Bombyx mori: one gene and its partners. The protein of the gene in region 3 purifies or fractionates together with the protein of the main gene of each other region. This does not show direct contact. Links are inferred from orthologs where the notes say so. Each region holds a gene or a part of one and is shown on either strand. Other genes may lie near its edges.

Region 1 (3,968 bases), on a different chromosome or scaffold from region 3:
TTGTAACAAACAAACATTCTTGCCAATGATTTTTCAATCTTTATGAATAACCAGTGGCAGTATAAAATATTGATGATATAAACTAGTATGCAAGAATAAAAACAGATGTGATGTGTGCAACTACTTATATGTTTTCTAACAAAAATCAAAAGCTTGATGATAAAGAATAAAGTATAAAGGTAGAATAAAGTGCAAACAAGACAAGAATATTTCAATCATATTATACAGATATGTTAACATATTAAAAATATGATGAAAATTTATCCTTTTACGTTAAATACTTAATCATTTAACATCGTACTGAGGCTTTAGTTTTACATTTGAATATCACATCGACCTGAATGCACAGCTGCTCAGAGATAGACTGGCTTTCTGATGTAGATATTGGACACATTAAGCCAGGTTCACATTCTGCATTCAATGACTAGATTTCTGTATCAGATATTTCACATTCTTATTGTCTGACACCTGTGTGATTAACATATTTGAATGTGACTAATTACTTATCTGAATAACTGATACAGAAATATAATCAAGGAATATAAGAGTTTGGCACCGAGCTGAAAGTGTCCAAAATTTACCTATATCAGAAAGCCTTCATGTGACAAATGAAAGTGCTGTACTATAAACTTCAGGACCTTATAGTACAGCACTATATACACAGTAATATACTCATACTCCAGCTGTAGGCTAGACTAAGCTATGACCCAGGCATTGCTAATGTCCATGAGTGATGTTGATTACTTACTATCAAGTGTGCTATATGATCTAACTACAATGGGAATAAATCCTTTCAATAATTATTCATGTGCTTGTTCAAATCTGAAGATGCTGTTATATGCTGTTTTCAATCTTTGTATAGGATGTAGACTAACTAAGATGACAATGTGCATTAACTCTATTTTTCTGTTTAAACTCAGATATTATAATTACAACCTGAAATCCTGAAATTATGGATTCTTGAATCTTTATGGATATGAATCATTCTTCATTGTCAGTCCAACACAACATTGGAAATAATTTTCATATCAAGATATTTTATAAATCAACATACATTGATCACAGATTCAGTATAACTGGGACCACATTCTATTCCTAATGTTATTGCATTTAGTGCATAACATTAGGAATAGTTGTCCTATTATAGTTATATCCTGCTAATCTTATTCAAATTGTTAATCAATTTTGAAAGATAAATACAAAACATTTATCTTTCAAACCTTACCTTTATAAAACTATAAACTTTATAGGTTACCTTTATAAAACTACTTTTATTATGGCTTAGCATTTTTTTTCCACAGGAGAAAATCGCCGGATCCCCACCCGCGCGGCAGGTGGGGTATGTGGGAGTTGAACCTCACTAAAAACTCCTGCCGCTCACAACCGGCCATAGCAATTTTTAGTGTCATATTATTTCATACATTTTGAATGCTTTACAGTTTGTATGGTAATAAGCACATTGTCTTCTATGGCATACTTTTAACTGTATAGCCTATGCAATTAAAACTAATACTATCATAACAACCACTGCTAATTAGACTTTTGTTGGAGATAGGTTTTTATTAAACCAGCATTTGGTACAATACAAATGCTTTGAAATTAATGATTACACTTTTATTAGATATCTTATACAAACCGTGTATGATCAGGTCCAACTGCTTTGTAAACATAGTCTGCATTTATTTTATTCATCTGTAAAAACTGATGAAGTTTTGACTTAGCATTCTCCATTGTCCAGTTGCCATGGAGACTGGAGTTTATGTCCAGATCTTCAGCTTCTTCAACATTTTTCTGTTGTTGCATGCGATCTATGTATGAAAATTTCTTGTCATTTTCACCTCCATAAGCTTGGTACGCTGGTCCTATAACTTCTGGACCCATTCCATCCTGAAATGTGAATTAGTTTTCATTTTCTACCATTTGTAATCACTCCCATAAGAAATTATGTAGTTTTCTCAAGCTAGTTAGATACTTAAATCTCTTAATTTTCTCAAGTTACAGTCTACCTTGTAACAGAATGATTATCGAAGCTATAAACCAATATTTATTTAAACACCACTGAAACCTATGAAACATTCAATAAGTCATTTTACTCATGGTCTTAATCATACATTTGCTATTATTGTTATTGAGGAATTATTTCTTTTTGGTGTAGTTTGCCTCCACAATTATAAAAATGAATACAATAAGTTCAAATAATTAAACACAAGGAAACTTTTGATTAAAACATCACCTGAAAGACTTGCTTAGGTTGTTGACCACCATTATTCTCGACAGATTCTTCATTAGTAGATTCCTCAATTGCCTTTGCCTTCACATCTTCAGGAACATCAGCCTGTGGGATTTGCCCCGCTCTAACTAGATAACTAACAAAGTCCTTAGCGGCGTTCATCTGTGCATCTTTTTTGGTAGTAGAGTTTCCAGCTCCTAAATATGAAAATCCTTCGACGCGGACTTCGCACAGAAAGCGTTGGCGGTGTTTAGGACCTGCATAAATTCAGTCCAGGATAATGTATAATAATTATTGAATAATGTTAATTCTGGACAAATCAGTCATCATTAAAAACATTATAATTCAAATATAATTGTACCTGTGGCCCGGATATCGAAAAGCGGAGTTAAGCCTTTCTTAGCACACCAAGTATATAAAAATGATTTAATATCCATTTTGAGCAGATACTTTGGGCGATATTCTTTCTAAATTATTATGTTGATTAGTTGTAGAAAGCGGTAGAAACTTAAACTCAATTAAAGCCGCACCAAATGAATTAACTCGGGCCAGCCACACACAACAAATGTCAATGGCGTCAAATCAAAATGTGATTTTTAAACTTTTTTTTTAACGGATTTTATGACCTGGTAACTAAGACTTTTACGTCATGTCTTATTTTAATTTATTCATAATTTTATGAAAAATGATACATGGAGTGTAATAAAATAAAATGAAGATGTTTAATTTGAGACATTAATCATCTGGGATGAAAATAAATGAAATGAAATGAGATGATATAGGATGAATATAATCTCAATAAAATGGTGGTCTTTTATTGAAACTTTTTCAGTGGACTTTTTGTAAGATCCCGAGAAGTTACGTCCAGCGGCTTTGTTTTATTTTCCCACATATGTGCACTTTCAAAGATACTAAATAGTTAACAAACCACCGTTATTAAACATTTAAACCTGAAGAAACACTAAGTAGACAAAATAAAGCAAATCACACCACTTCACTCCTCGCGTTCCCGCCAAAAAGTCCCATTTTTAGACTTTTTATTAGGTACTTTAGGTATAATCTTAATGTTACAACCAATCTTTCTTTTGGACTTATACTATCGTAGGATTAGATTTGTAATAGTTATATAATAGATATATAATAGACGTATATATCGTAGGACGTATATATCCTATATCGTAGGATAGTATCCTGCTTTTGAATAAACGGTGTCACAAGGTTTAATATTAGGTCAAACCAGATCGAATCCATTTGTAGATAATTTTTGAAGTCTGCTGGTTCTAAATCACTCATAATGTTCATATTTGCTAACATTCCGCACAGCAATAAATATTTCTTCACCGATATTCTTGTTTTTTTTTTGAGAAATTAAAACAAAAAACAAAAACAAAAATTTTGTTGTTTTCTAGACAATACTGGGGCCTTAAGTGTATAATCTATGACTGGGGCCATCCTCTTACACCGGCCACTGCATGTGAGTGGCACGAATACGGAAACCCGCAAGTGAGGGACGACATTTGCAAATGATTATGCAAAGTTTTCGCTACATTCGTGGTTTTCAAAGCTGTGTCGGTTTTTTAACAGACATCAAACCGCGCGAACCTCGAACCTTCGCGTAGTCTCCCACACATTCACTTGCTCAGTTGCGCCGATGATTGCGAATGTAACGGACGTATCGCCATTTTCATAGTTCGTGACGTCTACTGTGTAGCGTATCTTCATCAAAAGAAATCCCATA
Region 2 (3,500 bases), on a different chromosome or scaffold from region 3:
TGAGTACCCGTACGTTGTGACGGTCGAGTTAAAACTCACGAATACTACGACGAACGCTCTGCTGTGCTCGGGGTGCGTGCTGACCCCGACCTGGACCCTGACCACCGCGCGCTGCGTCTCCAAAACCGAAGACTTGCTAATCCAGGATCCGAAGATGTCATGGGTGGTGTACTATGGACTCACGCAGAAACCTTCCCAGGACACCGCCATCGCGATCCTTTCCGGAATAGTCCACCCCAGATATGCCGCGTCACCGAGAATGCTTCACAACGACATCGGCCTTCTGCGCACCGATCCCATCACCCTTAAACAGTTCGCCAAATTGAGCGCCGTTGACATGTTCTCTATGAACGGTTACGAAGTTGAGCTAATAGGCTTCAAGTCGACCAATGATACCAGTGGAAAATTGAAGAGAACTCTACAGATTTCATCGGTTGTGGTGAAGACTTGTGAAGGCACCGTTACTTATCCGGGGATGTGTTTGGCTCGGTCCTGCTCGTTGACCGACGCTTGTCACCAGGAAACTGGAGGTATAGCCATCCACAGCACCGGGGTCATAGCACTCCTGGCCAGTGGACGCAAGAGGGACTGCTTGGAGAACAATGAGAGACAGCAGGCCTATCAAATTGAGACAATGACTTCAATTGTGCCATATATAGATTGGATTCATACTCATATCAAGAGCTAATAGTAGCTAGTGTAAGATTGGTGTCAGAAGCTTCAGTGAACGGATGAAATTTGTATTGTTTTCTCAATAAAAGTGTTTGTTTATGAGCTTTATTTGTATTTAGCTTTTAAAAGCAATTAAAAATGCTCAGTTAACTTGATGATTACCCGCCTTTAGTTAAGCCTGCTCACTAAAGTATTGATATTTTACACTGACTAACTTTGTACGCTTCGGGCTTGTGTTGGATCAATGTTTTATCTTCTCGTTATTTTACTTGCTTAGCTTATACTGTTGTGTATGCACAAATGAAAGATTCCAAAGCAGACTGGTTTATTTTTGCATCTACCCGCCATTTTATAATGCGATTTAATATCTATACATAACACTTGTAATAAAGGGAGGTGGCGGAATTCATGGAATTCATTTGGTGAACTATATCTGATGTTTATAGGTTCCGTGAAGCTGTTGACCTGGAGTTGGCCATTAGTTTGTTCAAATAATTGTTCCATGCTCTCTGCGACATACGCCTTAGTAACTTCTTACTGCATTTCCAAATAGTAAGGAAATTGTATAATGGTAAACATGACGTAATAGCTTAGGTTATTTGAAGATACACTTTTTTAACGAGCATAATAAGAAATACTATTGCAACATTCTCTTCGAAACTCGTTTAAGATACTCATTACGATTGATTACAATTCAGGTTAAAGGTCTACTCCCCGACGAGGAGAAAGAGAAAATAGGTCCGAAGCCAGTGACCGGGGCAGCCCAGAGCCGGGCGGGGCGTCCCCCCGCGCCCCCCTCTGCCCCCCGCGCTGCTCCGCCTCCCCCGCCCCCGGCACCGCCTGTGCTGCTGCAGCCGATGTCCTCGCTAATGGTCCTGCCCCCCATGGCGCCCCGACCTCCGCTCATACCGGCTCCAGTGGGTACGTATACTCGAACACTGCACACATTCCGTACAACATGGCGCTAAGATCGCGTGCCTGATTTACTGGTGCCGGACAATGTACATGTAGTCTTAGGGAGTTAAGCTACAGATTAGAGGAAGAGTTGATGGAATGATAGAGTAAAGTGACATCTGAATGTGATCGCTGTGAGGGGATCATATGGTCAAAGTGTTCTGTGCAGGGGACCGACCCATCGTGGGTCGGTGAGTATCGGCTTCGGTCTGTGCACCCACGGTGTGTTGGACCCCACCTAACGCCAGTTGAGCTGTAGATTCGCGTGCCAGTAATGCATGCAACTATCCAAATATTGTGTGTGCTTCTTGCATAACACATCCGCTCAGTACATTTTGTACCAATAATGTGATTGCATCGCCTTAGGTGCAGTACCACCGCCGGCGTTCAACTTCGGAGCGGTAGTCCCTCCGGGCACAGTGGCGGAGCCCGAGGACGAGGGCCCGGCCGCTAAGAGAGCCCGCACCGAGGACGCGCTGGAGCCCGAGGGCGCCTGGCTCGCGCGCCACCCCGGCGCAGTCCCCCTGCAGGTGGGCTACCAGTAACACTACAATGATTGCTCTTACGCTAACAAACATTACAACTACAAACAAATAGAAAATCGGTCCAGTGTTTTTTTATTTTTTTTTATTGCTCAGAGGGGTGGACGAGCTTACAGCCGACCTGATGTTAAGTGGTTACTGAAGCCCATATACATCTACAACGTAAATGCGCCACCCACCTTGAGATATAAGTTCTAAGGTCTAAGTATAGTTACAACGGCTGCCCCACCCTTCAAACCGAAACGCATTACTGCTTCACGGCAGAAATAGGCACGGTGGTGGTACCCACCCGCGCGTATTATTAATATACCCCCAATATTAATATGTAGACAGAAGTGCTCTAATTTAATACGGTTTTATTAGCTTCATACGTATGTTAGTAAGTAACGGAATCTTTGAACATGATTTTGACCCCCTTCAAAACGTCAGATTGATTCGAAATTTGGCATACTTATTAAGGACCGATTAAAATTCAATATTTTAAACAATTAGACTCGTTATCCTTACTAGGATAATCAGGAATAGCGATTTTTTGTTTTCCTGAGACCCTGAGTGTCTGCGTCAAAACCAAGATGGGAAACCACCAGGCCCGCTGATTACCTATTTCTCGGATAAGTTACCGACTGTATCAGATGAAAGTTTTGAAATATTGAAAAAAAAAATTAATAAATTAAAATTCAACTAAAAAAATAGAAAATAAATTTTAATTAAAAATAGTCTAAGAAAAAATTATATTATTGTAAAAAAATCGTGGGGCGCACTGTATCAATAGTTATAAATATTTTATGAACAGATATGAGTAGAAGGGCTATTTTGATAATATACTGAAAAGCACCCGTACCTCCTACGAGGTCTCCGCGCTTAGGAGGCGCGCGGGGTAGGTACGTGGGACTGGTCCGCGACTGCGAGACTGCGGGCCCAAGGATGTTTTCAGGGCCCTAGAGTGGTGGTACCTACCCGTGCGGACTCACAAGACGTCCTACCACCAGGAATGCATTATGTTAATTGTATGATATTGTACCCTAATGCCCTTGTCCCTTGTGTCGGCAGGTGTCGTTGCCGGCGGCGCCTGAGCGCGCGGAGTGGCGGCTGGACGGGCGCGCGGTGCCGCTGACGCTGCCGCTGTCGGCCGCCGTCGCCGAGCTCAAGGCCATGCTGCAGCGCGCCACCAACATGCCCACCGCCAAGCAGAAGCTGCACTACGAGGTATCCCGACACGCTCAAATACTCGCATAGCTCACCGTAACAAATGATTAGCCATATTTTTTCCCCGGTTTTGACAGACCATATTAGCGTCAGGCGAATAGGTGAGCTCATGGGGCTCAAATCTGA
Region 3 (3,160 bases):
TATGCTTGATTTAGCATAGTTTACATACATCCAAAAAAGAAGGAAAATGAAACATTTTTCCAAATTTATATTTTACCATTCAATTACCTTGATTATACCAATAGCTCCAAAATGTTGGCACAGCTCCTCTTCAGTAGTAGATGGATTCATTCCCTGAACGAAGACAGTATCTTCTTGAGTTACCATATCACCGCCACCACCACCACCGCCACCACGGTCGGCATATCCACCGCTTCCGCCGCCTCCTGAAGGAAAATTTTATTCAATTATGGGGGAATAAATAGCTTGTAAATAAACAATTCTAGTTGCTGTATAAATAAACAACATAATTTATTTAATTTTAAATAATGAAGTCTAAAATTATCTAATTGAATAAGTTATTTAGCTTGTCATTCTAAAATGTACAATTCACCTCTTAAAATAGATGATATTTGGATTCGCGCTTGTAATATTACCTTTGGACACACTAGAATTACGTGTCCTAAATACCTTCTTAACATAGACAAATATTAAAAAATATTATTTTTCTTTGTCGATGACAAAACCTTTGCATGACTTTATACCATAACTTTAGGGCTGCCAAAACAATATGCATTATTACTGGTCAAATACACTTTAATCAAGTAACCATACTACCTAATTATCATCAGTCACAATATTATAACTCTGTTGAAGATTATGCCTCTTACAATAAATAGTGGTGTCTCCTTAGAGATAAAATAAATGTTTTGTGTAGTTATCATTCATTTTATTACTTGCTAGCATATGTCACTACATATTCATATTTGAGGTTGTCATATACTGTAAGTTCCCTTATATAAGCACAATCCTCAATAAACTCTTGATATTATTGTGAAACACATATAGCACATTTTACCTAAAATATTATTTACCTTACAATCTATTTAGTAATTCGTAATACACATTTCCAAGCTGACGTTTTTCACACCTGATCAACTTTTCTTTATTGAACCATATAATAAGATAAAACCTACTTATATTATAGAGCCAGTTAACCAGTAGAATACCATGTTTGGCAGCCCCTTAGATAAATACAAATTAATAATATGACAACAGCATCGCTCGCATAATGCGAGGTGCTTTACCTTTGTTAAAACCACCCCCCCTGCCTCCGCCACTAAAACAATAAGGACAGCATTTAGTACACAGGCAGGCAAGGGACACACTGTATGTCGCACGTAGATTGTTTCACACCTAGGTTCACTTATAAGTGACCTCAGTCCAAGAGTTGCGTCCTTTTCTTTACCATAATGTTTTAACCTTGATACCTTGAAAATCTTAGAACAATGCTTGAAGACAAAATTATTGCAGCAATTTCTTGAGACATGCAGACCAGTATTATGGATACAATATACAGATACATGTTCTAATTACTTCATTTTTAAACACTCAAATTATGAAATAAAACATTATTCACCAAGTTCATTGAGACAATATTTAAAAGATATATTTTTGCTCAGCTATTTTTCCAGTTTTCATTTCAGAAGTTGGACTGCTAAGAAGTATGACTGAATTGTAAGACGATATTCTGTTTGGTTTAGTATGTTTACTAGTAACAATCCCATATGTTACTTTACTGTTATATTTCTATAAAAGCATCTGAAATCTTGTAGTCATTGGATTGGGCATTCTCATTTAAATGCATAAACAGTAAAAATACTAGTTACTTGAATATAAATTTGATTTTTATAAACTTGGTGTTTAATGTGTGCTTCTCAGAAACCATACTTATAACATCAATTTCTCAGTATATTTTTAATAAAAGGTGTATGTTATATGGTCTAACTTCTGAGTACATTAATTTTCCAACACAAGCACAAGAATTCTTATCAAAATAACTCCAATAATTTTTCGCCTATAAAAATAGGCACTTGAAATTTTTCCATTTTAGAAATAAATTTAATCATTCTTAATTTATGCAACATTAATACCTTAATTGGCAAACCAGCTAATTGGCAAACTTTTTGATTACAGGAGAATACTCAAAAACTTCAGATGAAGACAGGTTGTAGTACTTTTGTTTGCTGACCTAATACCATAAAGCTGTGATTTAAAAAAACTACATTATGAACTTTATGAATAACATAGTAAAAATCTGCTAACACAGAGAATCAATAGCCTTTTAAACACATGGTAAGTGAAGGCAGGTGCCGGCTGTTACTAAGAAGGAAAGTATAGGCTTAAGTAATTTATCTTTTTTTTCCTTCCTTACGCTGATAGCCTTGAGAGGATATTTCAGCTTCTCCTTGACGTTTAGGTGAGCTCACGGGGCTCAAACCAGAGTGCTGCTAATACTGGCCTTAGCAAGGGCAGTGCTTCGCAGAACCTACCACTGGATCGGAAACACGACCCACTGAGAAGATACAGCGAGAAACTCAGTGGGCTGTGTCTATGGGTTAATTTACTCGTCGAGCTCTTCGTCACAAGCGACGGATTGGGCGAGGACGGTGACCGGTGCTTGAGGTACCTAAAGGCACTGTTAATGGATCGAGAGGACTGTAATGAAAAATTTATCGTTGTTTTCTGTTCATATCAAAGTAGTGGTGTTTCCTGACCAGTGGATAGGTAATTCTTTGTATTTTTATTGTAGTTTTTGCAATGTTAACACAACTTTTTTTCTGCATGGTTATCTAAGTGCTATGGTATTTCATTCTTCATACAAGTCGTTGTGGCGTAACGGATAAGACGTCCAGTGCAATTTTTGTAATGAAATACGTACTCGACAAATGTTCACGATTGACTTCCACCATGAAGAAATAACATCAAACTAATAAAAACCAAACTCGCAAAATTATAATTTGTGTAATTACTGGTGGTAGGACCTCTTATAAGTCCGCGCGGGTGGGTACCACCACCCTGCCTATTTCTGCCGTGAAGCAGTAATGCGTTTCAGTTTGAAGAGTGGGGCAGCCGCTATAACAATACTTGAGACCTTAGAACTTATATCTCAAGGTGGGTGGCGCATTTACGTTGTGGATGTGTATGGGCTCCAGTAACCACTTAACACCAGATGGGCTGTGAGCTCGTTCACCCATCTAAGCAATAAAAAAACATGGTTTAAATAAGAAGCTTCTTCAGCAATTGGCAAAAATAACATATTTTTGATTAAACATTGCATCTTAATCAGTTCCATCAGAGC
Region 4 (4,116 bases), on a different chromosome or scaffold from region 3:
TTTCCCTCGACGGAACACCTTTGCCAGTATGTCAAGACTTCCGATACCTAGGGTCTGTTATCCAAAGCGACGGTGAACTGGATCGTACTGTGAGGCACAGAATTGACGCAGGATGGATGAAATGGCGGCAGGTCACGGGCACCATATGTGACTCGCACATCCCTCTTCCCCTAAAAGGGAAGATATATAAGACCTTAATAAGGCCTGCCGTCTTGTATGGATCAGCTTGTTGGACAACGAAAGTGGCGGATGAAAGGCGATTGCATGCAGCAGAGATGCGAATGTTGCGATGGATGTGTGGAGTAACGAGAATGGATAGAATACGGAATGAATATGTTAGAGGAAGTCTGAAAGTGGCACCTGTGACAGAGAAGCTGAGGAGTGCACGTTTGGGATGGTATGGACATGTGATGAGACGGAATGAAAATGAGGTTGTTAAGAGAGTGTTAACTATGAATGTGGAAGGATTTAGAGGAAGAGGTAGACCTAAGAAGAAATGGATGGATTGTGTGAAAGACGATATGGGTAGGAGGGGAGTGAGCGAAGAAATGGTATATGATAGAAGAGTATGGAAGGAGAAAACATGTTGCGCCGACCCCAGGTGACTGGGAGAAGGGCAGGATAATGATGATATGTAATTACATAATAATGCAATTTGTTGATTTAGAAAAAGCGTATGATAGGGTTCCCCGTGAGGTTTTGTGGTGGAGCATGAAAGTGAAAGGAGTGCCAGGGAAATACCAACGGCTTGTTCGAGCTATGTACGGTAGAGCTAGTACGTACGTACGCTCCGCAGCTGGCAATAGCGACGAGTTCAGTGTGGCGGTAGGCTTACACCAGGGATCAGCTTTAAGCCCTTACCTGTTCATCCTAATAATGGATGCCCTAACATCGGACATACAGGAAGAGGCGCCTTGGTGTATGCTGTTCGCCGACGACATTGTTCTCGTTGGAGAGGAAGGGCCTGAGATACAGAGGAGATTGGCAAAATGGAAAGAAAGGTTGGAAAACGTGGGTTTGAAGATCTGTCGAACAAAAACCAAGCACATGTTTTGTGATTTTGGTGGTTCTTCAGACTTCACGCCAATCGACTTCAAGTACCTCGGCTCTATACTCCAGAACGACGGCAACATAGACCGGGACGTCGCAAATCGAATAAACGCTGGTTGGATGAAATGGCGACAGGTCTCTGCAACAGCATGCGATCGTAGAATGCCCCTTCAGCTCAAGGGCAAAATTTACAAAACGATCATTAGACCTGTCGTGCTGTATGGATCTGAGTGTTGGGCGACGAAAGTTAAGCAAAGCATGAAAGAGGAGTGCATGCGGCAGAGATGCGAATGTTGAGATGGATGTGTGGAGTGACAAGAATGGATAAGATAAAGAATGAGTATATCAGAGGAAGTGTGAAAGTGGCCCCGGTAAACAACAAATTAAGGAGCGGACGGTTAGCGTGGTATGGACATGTGATGCGTAGAGAGAAGATGCATGTGACTAGGAGATGTATGGAAATGGTAGTGCAAGGTAGAGGGGGAAGAGGTCGACCAAAGAAGACATGGATGGAGTGTGTGAATGACGATATGAGAGAGAGAGGAGTGAGTGTTGAGATGACGGCTGATAGAAGAGAATGGAAGAGAAAAATTAGCTGTGCCGACCCCACATAGTGGGATAAGGTGGAGAAAAAGAAGAAGAAATAATGCATAAGCCCACAGCCTAAATAGTATTAAATGGTTACTTGTACATTAAGACATTAATGCCACAAAATAAGAGTCTACTAGAGGCTTCAGTTCTGACTGGTGTGTAGAATAGCTTCAAGACAGAAACTAACAAAGTTGTAGTGCCTAATAGTACCATACAAGGTGTCCCTAATGGGACAAACCAAATCAACAATAAATCAAGCTGAAACATTGTTATAGATGGAACAATGCAGATCACATTAAAAATGTAAAAAATCTAAGTTGTAATTAGTAGTTTCATAACAAAACTAACTTATTAATTGTTTCATCTGTTCGATAACAGCCCTGAATTTATACAACAAAGGTACCATTCATTCAGCAGTTCATTCAAATGTTAAATGCATCAGAATTAGACATTTAATTTTAAACAAATACATTTAGTTCATTTCTAAAAAATAAATACAACAAAAAATGTAACCATATTACTATGTGCAATAGGTGTACTAGGTGATTGTTACTAAGTTTCACCTTAATGTACAAACAAAAAAATCTTTGAAGGGGTATTCATGTGTGTATGTATTTCAATAAGCTAACATCAAGCAACTGTTTTTAATTTATTAACCTCAATAAGGCACCCGCACCCCTTAGGTAAATCCAATCTACAGTGATCATGTAACATGGCTTACCCCAGTTTTTTTGTGAAGAATTTCTTTGACCATTGCGTCCATGGTTCTTTCCCTTTCCTCATGGTAGCTTCGTTGTTGCTCTAAAATTGTTTCCATTTTTAAAGGTTATAGAAATTGTTTTATGTCAATCACCTTGTAAAATACAATAATATTAAAATAATGATTAATGATTTTGAAGTTTAAATTATGTGAGAAAATATATGGTAGCATACAAAATATGCTTCAACTCAGTTGAATCAACTGTACTAAATTTACGTTACTGAGTATTGAAATCAATATTTTAGATAATAACAATAATGAAGAATCAAATCATCAACGTTTTTTAGATATATTTTATTCATTGAAGTAGTATGTATGAAATGTATACGTAAACCATAGATACAGTGTGACCATCTCTTAACTATAGATCCTGCCTTATGCCGGCCACTGACATGCGCGCAAATATTCGTACATTGTACGAATGTTTGCGCGCATGTGAAAGGCCGTCAAACATTCATTCGCAAACCTAGCGGCCGTGCAAATGGGTTCGCATACTCAATTTGCGAACCCGTTTGCGCTTCCTCCTACACTTGTTTACGAATGTCTCACGAATTTCTCCTCCTTTTTAATTCGTCAATAGAACATTGAAGAGAAAAAGAGTTTTGAATTCTTTCCCAGACATCATTAACAGCCATGCGGTTTTTATGGGATTTCTTTTGATGAAGATACGCTACACAGTAGACGTGAAAAACTATGAAAATGGCGATTCGTCCGTTACATTCGCAATCGTCGGCGCAACTGGGCAAACGAATGTGTGAGAGACTACGCGAAGGTTCGCGGTTCGCGCGCTTTGATGTCTGTTAAAAACCGACACAGCTTGGAAAACCACGAATGTGGCGAAAACTTTGCATAATCATTTGCAAATGTCGTCCTACACTTGCGGGTTTGCGTATTCGTGCGCATGTGAGTGACCGGTGTAAGAGTCCAATCCTGCCAAAATGGCAAGATCCTGCCACATATGGTCACACTGCATAGATATTTTTTGGTACAATTTTTCCTTACTAGGAAAAGCAAAGAGATCTAAACCCATACAATCTTGTCTGTTCTAAAAATCATAGATATTAATAGAGATACAACTAGGATTTTTTTAAGGGCCTGGATTTAAGTCTTTTAAACCAGATAGCTGTTTGAATTAATAGTAACAAAGATAATTTATCTTAATTATATAACTTAGTTTTTATTTATTGTTTTACTGAACCATAAGATTACTGCGACAAGTCTCGAGATCTTTGATAAAACTCGGTAGGCATCGGCTTTTTTTTCGAAGTCCCTGCATTTCCGAAGTCCATGAGCAACTACAGCCACTCAACACCAGGTGGGTTGTTTGATGAGCTGCCTACAACAGCAAATGGAAGAATATTACAACGTATAATTTGATAAAAAATACCTTTTATCGCAATGCAATATCTAAATCATCATGCCATGGCGAAGCTATCATTCATAAAATACAATGAAAACATTTATGTAGTGCTAGAGATATAATCATTATTATATTTTTTTTAATTTCCGAATGGAAATATGAACAACATTAAAGACATGCATATTGGTTCTAGAAGGAAGAGGTAAGGAGAATCATCTCATAAGGGAGAAAAAATTAAAGTGTCCAGCTGTATGCTATAAATCAGTTCAAAAACCTCTCACAATCGCGCTGGTGTAGACAACGGATATGGTATAAATGTAGCAATCATTGAACTGAAGTATGCGGAGTTAAAAAA
Region 5 (3,500 bases), on a different chromosome or scaffold from region 3:
TGATCTAAATTAAAGAGTGCTTTACAAACCCAACCTTACAAGCGAATACCATGTGTAAGTGAAACCAAAAAGAAGGCATTGAGCATGAGAGCTTACAAATTGCGTTTGAAGGTTTCAGTTTCTTAAACTTATTTTCACATTAATTAAAATTCTATTACAATTGTATTTACAGTACAATGTGGTAAATACTATATAGCATCATCAACCTCACCAATTCAGTCAATCTGATTTGAATAAATAATAGCTAAACCTTACACTAAAACAATTAGAATTAAATAATAACTACCTACTTTGAGAGCTTATCCCTGTGTATTGTATATTGTATTTGTAAAAATTATTAACCAAAATAGCCATCATAACATCATTGGATTGCTTACCTCTTTATTTTTCTCTGTTTTATCTTCTTTGCTTTCTTCATTCTTCTGTTTTTTGGCTTCAGTGTCATCACCGTCATGCTCCATAGTTTCAGCGGTATGTTTCTTTGCGTCATCTGGACCCGTAGATTCTTGCGTGTCCATTGCTTTTATATAATTTGCACAAGTTTAATATAGTAGGATAAAAAAAATACATGGTTCTCATTAATTTAATTTATACATGAAATATTGATAACGACTCCAACCTACATTGTTGTACGTCAAACAAAAAAAAAAGGGGGAATTTTCTGGTAAATTTATTTTCTATTAATTAATAAAAGCTTACCTTTGTCATCCTCCTGTTCATCTGATTCATTTCTGAAAAAGTAAAGAAATAAATAAAATTAAATAAGACTTGTTTCCTCTTTAATTCTTTCACAGGTATGTTTTTTAATAAAGTAATGAATCGGTTTATAGAACTAAGAAAAAAATTACAAAAAATATTATACAAAGGTGATATTTAAGGGTCAGAGTTAGGCTGGGGTGTGGGTGGTATTGTCAATGTCATCTGCATTTGTTGACCTATTAACCTGTCGAGCTTACCTGTTATTAGGCTCTTTTGCGAGCTGTTCATCTTTAGTTGGTTGAGATTCAGTTGATTCTTCCTCAAGGCTTGGTGAGTAGCGGTCATCACCGTCACTGCGAGTTTCTTCCGGAATGGGCTCAGGTGGGTCTGCAGGCTATTTTCAATAATACAACAATAAAAACTACATTAACAATTAATTGAATAAATAAATGATACAATACAGGTAACGTCATACGGTAGTTATATTTATTTTTAGTAATCCTTCCTATTAGACACAATGTTTTGCAACCTTTGCTGAAACATTAAAACGTGTTTACTTATTGCTTTTTTTACTACAATCGAAGTGCGTACAGGCTCACAGCCAACCTGATAATCGATTATTAGAGCTACACACTTGCGACCAGTAAAGTCTTTTGGTGCTGATTTTTTTTTTTAATATGTGATGTAATTATTTTGAGTATTTTAATTCCGTTTTTTTGGTGTAATAATGCTGTTTTTTTATATAAAAACTTTATTAATAGCAATAATACGAACAAGTAAAAAAATGTGCACACACTCAAAATCGTAAATTTAATCGAAGTGGGTGTGCGATAACTCTACATCGCAATTTTCAGTACCGTGCATAGAAGCGCTATCGCCGTGTAGCGTATAGGATTAAAACGGAACGCACATTCGACTGTGTATTGTTACGAATCCATGAGTGCTGATCAGTAGGAATTTATGAGATTAGGGGTGAGACTAAATAGGGAAATAAGGTCGTAATAACGGTATTATCACAGTTTATTATCATTTTCGATCATATAACCTTAAATTACATACATCTGAATAATATGAAACTCTACAAGCACTAGCAAATTTGAAATAATGATATGCGGTAGGCAGCGGCTTGGCTCTGCCCCTGGCATTGCTGAAGTCCATAGGCGACGGTAACCACTCACCATCAGGTGGGCCGTATGATGAATGAAAAATGATGAAAAAAAAATGCAATAAACTATAAACCTGATTTTTTTTTCAAACTTCAAAGAGCAAAGCCTGCCTTTCCTATTTGAATAAAAATCTAGGATTCGTAACATTAAGAGCACTGTTTTGAAATTATTTTTTTTTTTCATATGATTTGCAACATTCATAAGAAAAACTAACCATTTGAATAAACTCCGTTTTTCAATATGTACACTTCGGAAAAAGGTTATCGTGTATAATGGAACCAGTTATTCAAACACAAAACACGGTACGCCTTAGCTTTATCAGTAAATTTATCGCTATTTTTACGGTACGTTGTTACTGAGGAAAAATAAATCAATAACAAGAAAAACGCTATTACAGTTTAAAACCCTAGTCCTTATTATCTTAGATTAGAAAATCAGGCAGGGAGTGTTCAACCATTACTTGACTTGACTTACATTATTGCAGACACTTAATAATTCTAATTTTTGTATGACCTTGCATTTTTATTGGTGATGTATAAACACTGTCAACATTGTTATTAACTTTTCTTAGTGCTTGTTATTTTTTGTCTCAGTAATTGATAAATATTTAACTTTCACAGTTGGTTATTATCCTATTCCATCTGTTTTGCAAGAATGGTCTCTTTACAGTACGACATAATTTTTAATGAACATATCGAGGGATGACAGAAAGGCTATTTGGTTTAAGCGACATTTATCTTTGTAATTAAAGATGCGTTTTAATTGATATTAACATCAACAGTTCGATGTTTTTAATTGAACTTCAGTTAAGTTTACTCCATTGAAATAGCTAAATTTTTTCTTATTATATTTTTTCCAAATTTTATTTATATCTTTAATGGCTCTCTTACTACTCTTACTTACTCTAATACTTGTGGTAGGACCTCTTGTGAGTCAGTCCGCACGGGTAGGTATCACTACCCCGCCTATTTCTGCCATGAAGCAGTAATGCGTTTCGGTTTGAAAGGTGGGGCAGCCGTTGTAACTATACTTGAGACCTTAGAACTTATATCTCAACGTGGGTGGCGCATTTACGTTTGTAGATGTCTATGGGCTCCAGTAACCACATAACACCGGGTGGGCTGTGAGCTCGTCCAACCATGTAAGCAATAAAAAAATAAAAATGCAAAAATGTCGCTTAAACCGAATAGCCTTTCTCGTCTCGATATTATGCTTTTACTTTACCTTTGCTGGTGTGGCTGCTAGTTTCGAAGTAGACGAGGAACGTCGAGTGGTTCTTGATGCCGGCCGACGCGGTGTTCCTGGATCATCAGTCTCTTCAGTACTGGTATCTAATATTGAATTGTCTGGTAGTGCTGCAAAATAACGCTTTTATTTAATTTTCATTGTTGATCAACAAAATCTATCAAAAGAAAACAATTAATTCATTTCTATAATCTTCTAAATATTAATTGAACCAATATTTAGGGTTTTTTTTTCTTTCCCTACCTAAGCTGAGAGCCTTGAGAGGCTATTTCAGCGTAACCCTAACTTTTGTAGGTGAGCTCACGGGGCTCAAACCTGATGACGTTGCTAACACGAACCCTAGCAAGAGCCGTACTTCGCAGAATCTACCACCGGATCGGAAACGCGACC
Region 6 (3,061 bases), on a different chromosome or scaffold from region 3:
TGTGTGTTACATATTTATGGTTTCATGCATTTCAAGTTTCCAATCTTGATGGATAGTGTCGTACACTTGTAACCAAGCCAACAATTATATTATGGCCTACTAGAAATTCAATATTAAATTTAAATTTAATTTGTTAATTGATGATCTTTGTATCCGTAGATTCGTATATACATTTGGTTCTGTGATATAAATTATCAATCTAACTGTAAATATCAATTATAATCGAGATATATTGTACTACGAATTATGTCATTTGTAAATAATAGTATATTGTAATACATACATGTAAAGATAAATGTGACCAGTTTTTTCTTCCATACTAAAACTACAGAGTAACCTCGCAAAAAATATACATACCTTACCATCGAAAGAAGATTGATGTTGGTAAATTTCCGCAATGTCAATAATCTAAAGTATGGAGTTCTTATATCCATTATATAAATAGTATATAAACTAAATCTTTAACATTCTAATGGATTTAACTACATTGAAACAAAAAATACTACTTATTTATGATTTATTCTGACCTTATTGTGTAGATATAATCGTTGTTTTTTTTTTAAATTATAGTGTGACTAATGATCTAATGCGAAAATAAACACGCACACTGGTAAACATGTGTTGTCGAACCATTAAAAATGAGGTTTAAAAAACTATAATGGAAACCTGATATTTATTACATATTTTTGTTATAATCCTACTACCTATTATTCCAGTGTTTATTATTGTTACTCATCTTCTAATAGAAACGTTGTCATTAACTATACTACAGATAGTCTTGATCCACTGTTTAGTTTTTACTATTAATTCATCAGCACTAAATATCAGATACGTCGATACAGAGGTAAAACTTTTAACTGCAGCTTCAAATGTATGAGAAACAATTTTGCGGACAAACGATAATATCTTCCTTAACTTAGTGCGTCATTACTCCATTTTAATATTTACAAGAACATTTTTATGCAGTCGTTTTTTGAGAATTAACATTTTCGGAAACTTGACTTTTCTTCCCTTTCTGCATGTTTTCTACCTCGGTCTGTAGTTCTGAGTATCGCTTTTGCAAAAGCTTCTCGCGTTCAGTCTGTCGGCTGACGTCTTCGGTCAACGATTCTATTCTACGTGGAATGGCCGCTTTCTCCTGTTCAGCCAAGAATTTAAAGGTCGATAATTCTAAATTAGCTTGTTCTATTTGATCTTGTAATTCTTGAAACTGTTTTATGAGAGCTGCGGCACGACTCTGGTAACCTCCTGTTAGCACACGAAGTTTCTTTTCCATTTTTGAACATTTTTTTGCTTCCTTCGCCATGTGATTTCTATTCTGCTCTAATCTTTTCTCAGCAGATTCTAAACGATCCTTCTTGCTTGCCAAATTAGCACGCGTGTAACGATGTTGACCGGGTAGAAAAAGTACCTATAGGAAAATGTGTGTAATTACTGTAATGTGCTAATTGATTGATTTCTTTAATCCTACGATTCAGTTAGTAAAAAGGATTATTGGAAAATTATATATAGATTTAACATTATAAGCATTTTGATCTCGGCCACTTCTGTACCACCACTTCACATTATATTTAGTATAATAAGTATTATTACATTATATTTGCAAGCCAGATTTTGTTTCTTTTTATTTGTGTATTTATGTGTCTTTAGCTTGTGATGTGTATTGTGAGCCTAATAAAATAAATAAATAAATAGTAACATAACACTTCCAAAGAATAGGTGCTTTGATTTAGTCAGCCACTAAAAAAAATTGGTAGCATTGAAATATTGTGCGAAAAGGGTAAAAAAAATAATACTATGATTCTCATACCTGTGCTAAACATTCCTCCCAGACTTGAGTGTACGCGTCTATACTAAGGTCCCCATGACTCATTCCCGCTTTCACGACTTCCATTTCTTTCTTCAGTGCTTCTTTAGCGGCAGCTAATTCTTCGTCAGCAAACTCTTCATATGGATGCTGTTCTAAGTATGCTAAATGGGATGCTTGTAGTTGAATAGCACGCTTTTTATCTACACCTGAAAAATATAATTCTATTAATATTTGAATGTCTTTACACTCTTAAGGTGAATTTTGATTCCTGTATTCCGATACCTTTGTTAGGTTACGCGATGCTACAGAATTACCGCATATTAAAATTTAAATGCTTATGTATTCACGAAATCGAATTATTAATCGTATCCGTAGTAATGGCCTCAATCAGTTCATGCCACATAGGGTAATAAATGGGCTTCATTTTCAGAGCTTACCGAAACTAACTTGATTTTTTGATTGTGTCACTCTGTCTTTGTAAAATACTGATGTTAACAAGGTATGTTGAGAGCACGGTTCATACTGTAGCAACAAAATTCAAAACGTTGAGCAAATTTATATTTGTAAAAGCTACGGCCACCAGACTGGTGATGGCGGTACAATAGCTGGTCAGTAACCACCAACGAGGCAATCAAGTATTTATTTATTGCTTAGATGGGTGAACGAGCTCAGCTGGTGTTAAGTGGTTACTGGAGCCCATAGACATCTACAACGTAAATGCGCCACCCACCTTGAGATATAAACTAAGGTCTCAAGTATAGTTACAGCGACTGCCTCACCCTTCAAAGTGAAACGCATTACTGCTTCACGGCAGAAATAAGCAGGGCGGTGGCACCTATCCGCGCGGACTCACAAGAGGTCCTACCACCAGTGAAATGTTTGAATGTGTGAAATAAGAAACCTTCAGGCGGGTCCCTGAGGGCATCGTAGTGCAGCATGGTGACCATCTCGGCTTTGAGCAGTTCCTCGGCGTGCTGCAGCGGCGTGAGGGCGGACAGCGAGGCGGCACCGCGCAGCACCGACACGTTGACGTCGGCCGGACGCGCCGCGCCGCGCTGCACCGCCAGCGAGCGACGCGACAGCTCGGCAGCGCCTGCCGATAATCAAACCGAGTTGGTCGTAGCGACTTTTAAGTTCAATGAAGTTCAAACGACGAGTACATTTCATATGTGGCTTATAAGTAAAAATCCTCGCAAAAAAAACTTTCCAAAGGTATAGGCGATGGGTTCGTTAATAATTCTTACAAGAGCA
Region 7 (4,031 bases), on a different chromosome or scaffold from region 3:
TGTACTGGTTGACTGGAGGGAAATCCCAGCTTTCGCCAACAAGTAAAATTTTAATTTACAAAACCATCTTAAAGCCAATATGGACATATGGCATACAGCTTTGGGGAACTGCCAGCAATAGCAACGTCGAGATCCTGGAAAGGTTTCAAAATAAAACTTTCAGAACAATGCTAAGAATACCGCATTACATAAGCAACAAGATCATACAAATGGACCTAAATATTCCCACAGTGAAAGAGGAAATAGTAGCTTACAGCAAAAAATATCAAGCCAGGTTATCGACACACGTCAATAAATTGGCGTCGGACCTAGGAGGCACAGGAGCTGTGCAGTTTACTAGATTAAGGAGGCACAGTATACCTACCTTACACAACAGAAATTAAATCTAACAATAAAAGATGAAGGTGTCACTGGATATCTGATTCTGTTTATAAATCTATTAAGAATAAATTCAGCCAGAGGAATAGCTCATTGTTAACTGAAAAACAGATCGCTACGAGACATTAAAACATAAGAGAAAAAAAAAAAAATTAATTAGAGAAGTTAATATTACGACGGATGCGATGCTATATAAAAAAAAAATTAAAAAAGTTAATCAAAAGAAAATCAATTTAATATGTATAATGTGTGTAGCGCCAATAGATATGCTGTACTTGACTTTTGATTTTCTTTTGGACTTGAGGACTGTATTCTGTTAAATTAAAAGATGTTTATTTTTTGAGATACCAGTTGGCATGTGTATTCTGAATTAGCAATTTTACAGTTTTATATGATGATGGGGTCAGGGAACAATATTTTTATCCAATAGCAACCGCACACGTTCCTAGCGTGATAGCGTCACACACAGCTCGATTATAATTGGTCGCGAAAATTTATACAATAATACCAATATAATAATACTAATGACAAAATACAGATACGATAATTTCACGGATCGAGATCCTCAGCATTGCAGATGCGTGAACAATGTCTAATGTACAAACTAATAAAACTGAAAAAAAAGATCTTCCGAGAACTAGCTTAGGCTAATATAAAAGTTAAAGACAGGTTTGTGTAAGTGAGAGAGATTTAAAGTGAGTGATATATGTATACTGAGCTAAATGATCAAGATGAAAAAATAAATTAATTGACAGACCAATCAATTGAATTGGATCACTGAGCTAGTGATCTAAATGGGCTAGTGAGCTAGATGAGTGATATATATCTTTAGAGTAAAATGATATATGTTCTATGATTATACTAATCTGTGCTCAACAGGATTATGTTGTAATATGTTGGCCTAAAGGTCTAGAAACCAGGCCACAAACTCCAAAAAAAAAAAAAAATTTTTAGTATGTTGTACATACACAAAAAACGCGATAAATATACGTTTTGGTAAATTTTAGTTAGCAAACTAGTGAATTTTGTATAATGAAGTAATTAAAAATAAAAAAATCAAGATGTCGCTGGAAATACCTTTAATGAGCACCGACGAGGTGAAATAAAAACTCTAATTCAGTTTGGCGTTTAAAAAGTGTTCGTGTAACATTTTTATATTAATATTTGATTTCTTTAGGTGATTGACCTGGATCCAGAACAATTACCTTCCGGCGATGAGGTGCTCAGTATTTTACAACAAGAACGCTCACAACTCAATGTTTGGATTAATGTTGCAGTGAGTTAACCTAACCTCGATATTATTCTATTATGGGAAAATAATCATAGCAGACGAAAAAAATTAAAACTTTATACCAATCACAACGTTGCAAATACATGAACTAATATAAAATGCAAGAAAATCTTTAATTAAAAAAGGTTTTTCAACTGTAAATGATCATTTAACAATTAGTTGAGTAAATATGTTTACAAAGAACTTTCACAAATTACTTTACCTTAAACTTATAATGTCAGTTTTAAATATAAACATTAACTGCAATTTTCTTCGTTCTTTTAGACTTACATCAAAATATGTTAAATATACAATCATAAAATAATTTCACACTTATGATACATAATTCGGAGTACACATTTTCATTATTTTTATTGCCTACAATTATCGTAATGGGGGTGTTAGATATTATGAAGCAAACACTGCCAACATGCTGACATGTGTGTCAGCAGTGTAAATGTCACAAAAAATTTGAAAGTATGACTACGTCATGGGAATAGGCAGCTTTGTGGTATCTTATGGGTAGACAATGCACCCTATGAATATATGAATAAATATGCAAATTCATAAAAATTATGGTTATCATATTAATAATTTTATTACACAATATAATTTCTTCGATATGTATTTGTATACATACATCAGGTGGAATTTGATATGATCTAATGTAGTTTGTTGTGGTTGAAATTAATAAAATAAATAATAAAAAGGAATTTGTACAATTTGAGTTTCGGGACATTCATATTTATTATTAACCTGTTATATAATAAGAAACAGTTGCTCTGCATCTTAAGTGTGACTGACTTTATGCTCCAGTTAAAAGTTTTCAACTTTTTATGTTTAGCTCGCATATTACAAACAAAAGAAAATCGATGACTTCCTCAAGATCCTGGAAGCATCACGTACAGATGCCAACATTGACTATCGGGATTTCGAAAGAGATCAGATGCGGGCTCTCGACATGTTGGCCGCATACTATGTGCAAGAAGCTAACAAAGAGAAGTCAAAAGATAAGAAAAAAGAACTATTTACAAAGGCAACATTATTGTACACTATGGCGGATAAAATTATTATGTATGATCAGGCAAGTGAAAAATAATGCATCAGTTAATCATTGCTAATTGTCGCTTTATTTTCTAATAATGTGAAATGTTCCAGAACCATCTTCTTGGTAGAGCATATTTCTGCTTATTGGAAGGTGACAAAATGGAACAGGCTGATGCTCAGTTCAACTTTGTCCTAAATCAATCCCCAAATAATGTGCCTTCATTGCTCGGTAAAGCTTGCATAGCTTTCAATCGTAAAGATTACAGAGGGGCACTTGCTTTTTATAAGAAAGCACTTAGAACAAATCCAGACAGCCCAGCCGCTTTGAGACTGGGTATGGGACATTGTTTTATGAAGCTGAATAATCAGGAGAAAGCCAGGTATCTATATCGTAATAATTATGGCTTGTCTGCAAATTCTGATTTTGGATACTGGAGGTCCTGGTCCATTACTGCTATTAAGAAACTGTTTCAGTTTGAATAGCAGAGTAACTTAATCCTTTGCACTTGAGATTTCGAAGTATTTGTTTATGTGTAACTTGTGATCCCATTCATGTCAAATATGTTAATTCACCAGCTTGGGCTTTTAGACATATTTGCATATCAATAGAAAACTGTGAATAAGCTTTAAACAAAAGTTTCAAATCCAATCATTTCCATTAAAAGTTAAAGAAATACCAAAGTGAAAAACAGAAAAAGTCCCTCCCTATGGCATATTGCAATGAGTATTTGGACATATAACCCAAGCAGGCGGTATGTCGTAAACTTATGTTGTGTCATGACATATCAACGCCCAATGCCGCATGATAAGCGGTCATGCCGTCCCAACCTGACATATATGGTATAAGAGGAAAAAGAAGTGTAATTTTGATCAAAAGTCATACAGTATATCTGTTGTAGTGTTTACTGGAGCCCATATCTTAAGACATGAGATTGAAATCTCTATTATATTGTATGAACAAAACTAGGGGTACTACATTGCATACAAAAAAAAAGAAGTACACACACATATATATATATATATATATATATAGTTTTAAAGCATTGTAGAAATGGTGACCTCTTGTAAAGCGCACCACCACCCCAAATGATGACCACGACCACTCTGTCAAGAGTGCAAAAGACTGAGAAGAAGAAATAATAAATATATTTATTGCAGGATGGCCTTTGAAAGAGCTTTACAATTAGATCCACAATGTGTAGGTGCTTTAGTGGGACTTTCCATTTTAAAATTAAATCTGCAGGAGAGTGAATCAAACAAAATAGCAGTTATTATGTTGTCTAAAGCCTATGCTATTGACCCAAAAAATCCTATGGTTCTAAATCATTTGGCCAAT

What was found.
Region 1: the proteins of RNA-binding protein cabeza (region 3) and MLE purify together in Homo sapiens (affinity purification with mass spectrometry; 4 studies listed by BioGRID and IntAct, with this or other methods). This does not show direct contact. The link is inferred for Bombyx mori from reciprocal best matches to the Homo sapiens genes FUS and DHX9.
Region 2: the proteins of RNA-binding protein cabeza (region 3) and splicing factor 3A subunit 1 purify together in Homo sapiens (affinity purification with mass spectrometry; 3 studies listed by BioGRID and IntAct, with this or other methods). This does not show direct contact. The link is inferred for Bombyx mori from reciprocal best matches to the Homo sapiens genes FUS and SF3A1.
Region 4: the proteins of RNA-binding protein cabeza (region 3) and splicing factor 3A subunit 3 purify together in Homo sapiens (affinity purification with mass spectrometry; 3 studies listed by BioGRID and IntAct, with this or other methods). This does not show direct contact. The link is inferred for Bombyx mori from reciprocal best matches to the Homo sapiens genes FUS and SF3A3.
Region 5: the proteins of RNA-binding protein cabeza (region 3) and heterogeneous nuclear ribonucleoprotein U-like protein 1 purify together in Homo sapiens (affinity purification with mass spectrometry; 3 studies listed by BioGRID and IntAct, with this or other methods). This does not show direct contact. The link is inferred for Bombyx mori from reciprocal best matches to the Homo sapiens genes FUS and HNRNPUL1.
Region 6: the proteins of RNA-binding protein cabeza (region 3) and cell division cycle 5-like protein purify together in Homo sapiens (affinity purification with mass spectrometry; 4 studies listed by BioGRID and IntAct, with this or other methods). This does not show direct contact. The link is inferred for Bombyx mori from reciprocal best matches to the Homo sapiens genes FUS and CDC5L.
Region 7: the proteins of RNA-binding protein cabeza (region 3) and RNA polymerase-associated protein CTR9 homolog purify together in Homo sapiens (affinity purification with mass spectrometry; 3 studies listed by BioGRID and IntAct, with this or other methods). This does not show direct contact. The link is inferred for Bombyx mori from reciprocal best matches to the Homo sapiens genes FUS and CTR9.

What each region holds. Positions count from the first base shown.
Region 1 is NC_085132.1:4,379,863-4,383,830, reverse strand, and holds the start of MLE (MLE protein), read right to left. Parts: upstream 2,801-3,968; 5' UTR 2,668-2,800; coding exon 2,592-2,667; intron 2,488-2,591; coding exon 2,234-2,487; intron 1,888-2,233; coding exon 1,637-1,887; intron 1-1,636. UniProt on the Homo sapiens protein: Multifunctional ATP-dependent nucleic acid helicase that unwinds DNA and RNA in a 3' to 5' direction and that plays important roles in many processes, such as DNA replication, transcriptional activation, post-transcriptional RNA regulation, mRNA translation and RNA-mediated gene silencing.
Region 2 is NC_085112.1:2,362,209-2,365,708, forward strand, and holds part of splicing factor 3A subunit 1, read left to right. Parts: coding exon of another isoform or gene 1-688; exon of another isoform or gene 689-1,370; coding exon 1,371-1,593; intron 1,594-1,992; coding exon 1,993-2,156; intron 2,157-3,218; coding exon 3,219-3,374; intron 3,375-3,500. Other genes in the region: transmembrane protease serine 3-like, read left to right, coding at 1-688. UniProt on the Homo sapiens protein: Component of the 17S U2 SnRNP complex of the spliceosome, a large ribonucleoprotein complex that removes introns from transcribed pre-mRNAs.
Region 3 is NC_085116.1:7,696,744-7,699,903, reverse strand, and holds part of RNA-binding protein cabeza, read right to left. Parts: intron 1,139-3,160; coding exon 1,107-1,138; intron 246-1,106; coding exon 88-245; intron 1-87. UniProt on the Homo sapiens protein: DNA/RNA-binding protein that plays a role in various cellular processes such as transcription regulation, RNA splicing, RNA transport, DNA repair and damage response. Binds to ssRNA containing the consensus sequence 5'-AGGUAA-3'.
Region 4 is NC_085112.1:8,798,029-8,802,144, forward strand, and holds the start of splicing factor 3A subunit 3, read right to left. Parts: upstream 2,801-4,116; 5' UTR 2,459-2,800; coding exon 2,363-2,458; intron 1-2,362. UniProt on the Homo sapiens protein: Component of the 17S U2 SnRNP complex of the spliceosome, a large ribonucleoprotein complex that removes introns from transcribed pre-mRNAs.
Region 5 is NC_085130.1:5,989,306-5,992,805, forward strand, and holds part of heterogeneous nuclear ribonucleoprotein U-like protein 1, read right to left. Parts: intron 3,221-3,500; coding exon 3,090-3,220; intron 1,094-3,089; coding exon 957-1,093; intron 732-956; coding exon 700-731; intron 521-699; coding exon 378-520; intron 1-377.
Region 6 is NC_085115.1:11,723,283-11,726,343, reverse strand, and holds the end of cell division cycle 5-like protein, read right to left. Parts: intron 2,904-3,061; coding exon 2,712-2,903; intron 2,017-2,711; coding exon 1,811-2,016; intron 1,611-1,810; exon of another isoform or gene 1,412-1,610; coding exon 959-1,411; 3' UTR 501-958; downstream 1-500.
Region 7 is NC_085129.1:3,976,815-3,980,845, forward strand, and holds the start of RNA polymerase-associated protein CTR9 homolog, read left to right. Parts: upstream 1-1,231; 5' UTR 1,232-1,439; coding exon 1,440-1,475; intron 1,476-1,555; coding exon 1,556-1,654; intron 1,655-2,492; coding exon 2,493-2,732; intron 2,733-2,806; coding exon 2,807-3,075; intron 3,076-3,853; coding exon 3,854-4,031. UniProt on the Homo sapiens protein: Component of the PAF1 complex (PAF1C) which has multiple functions during transcription by RNA polymerase II and is implicated in regulation of development and maintenance of embryonic stem cell pluripotency.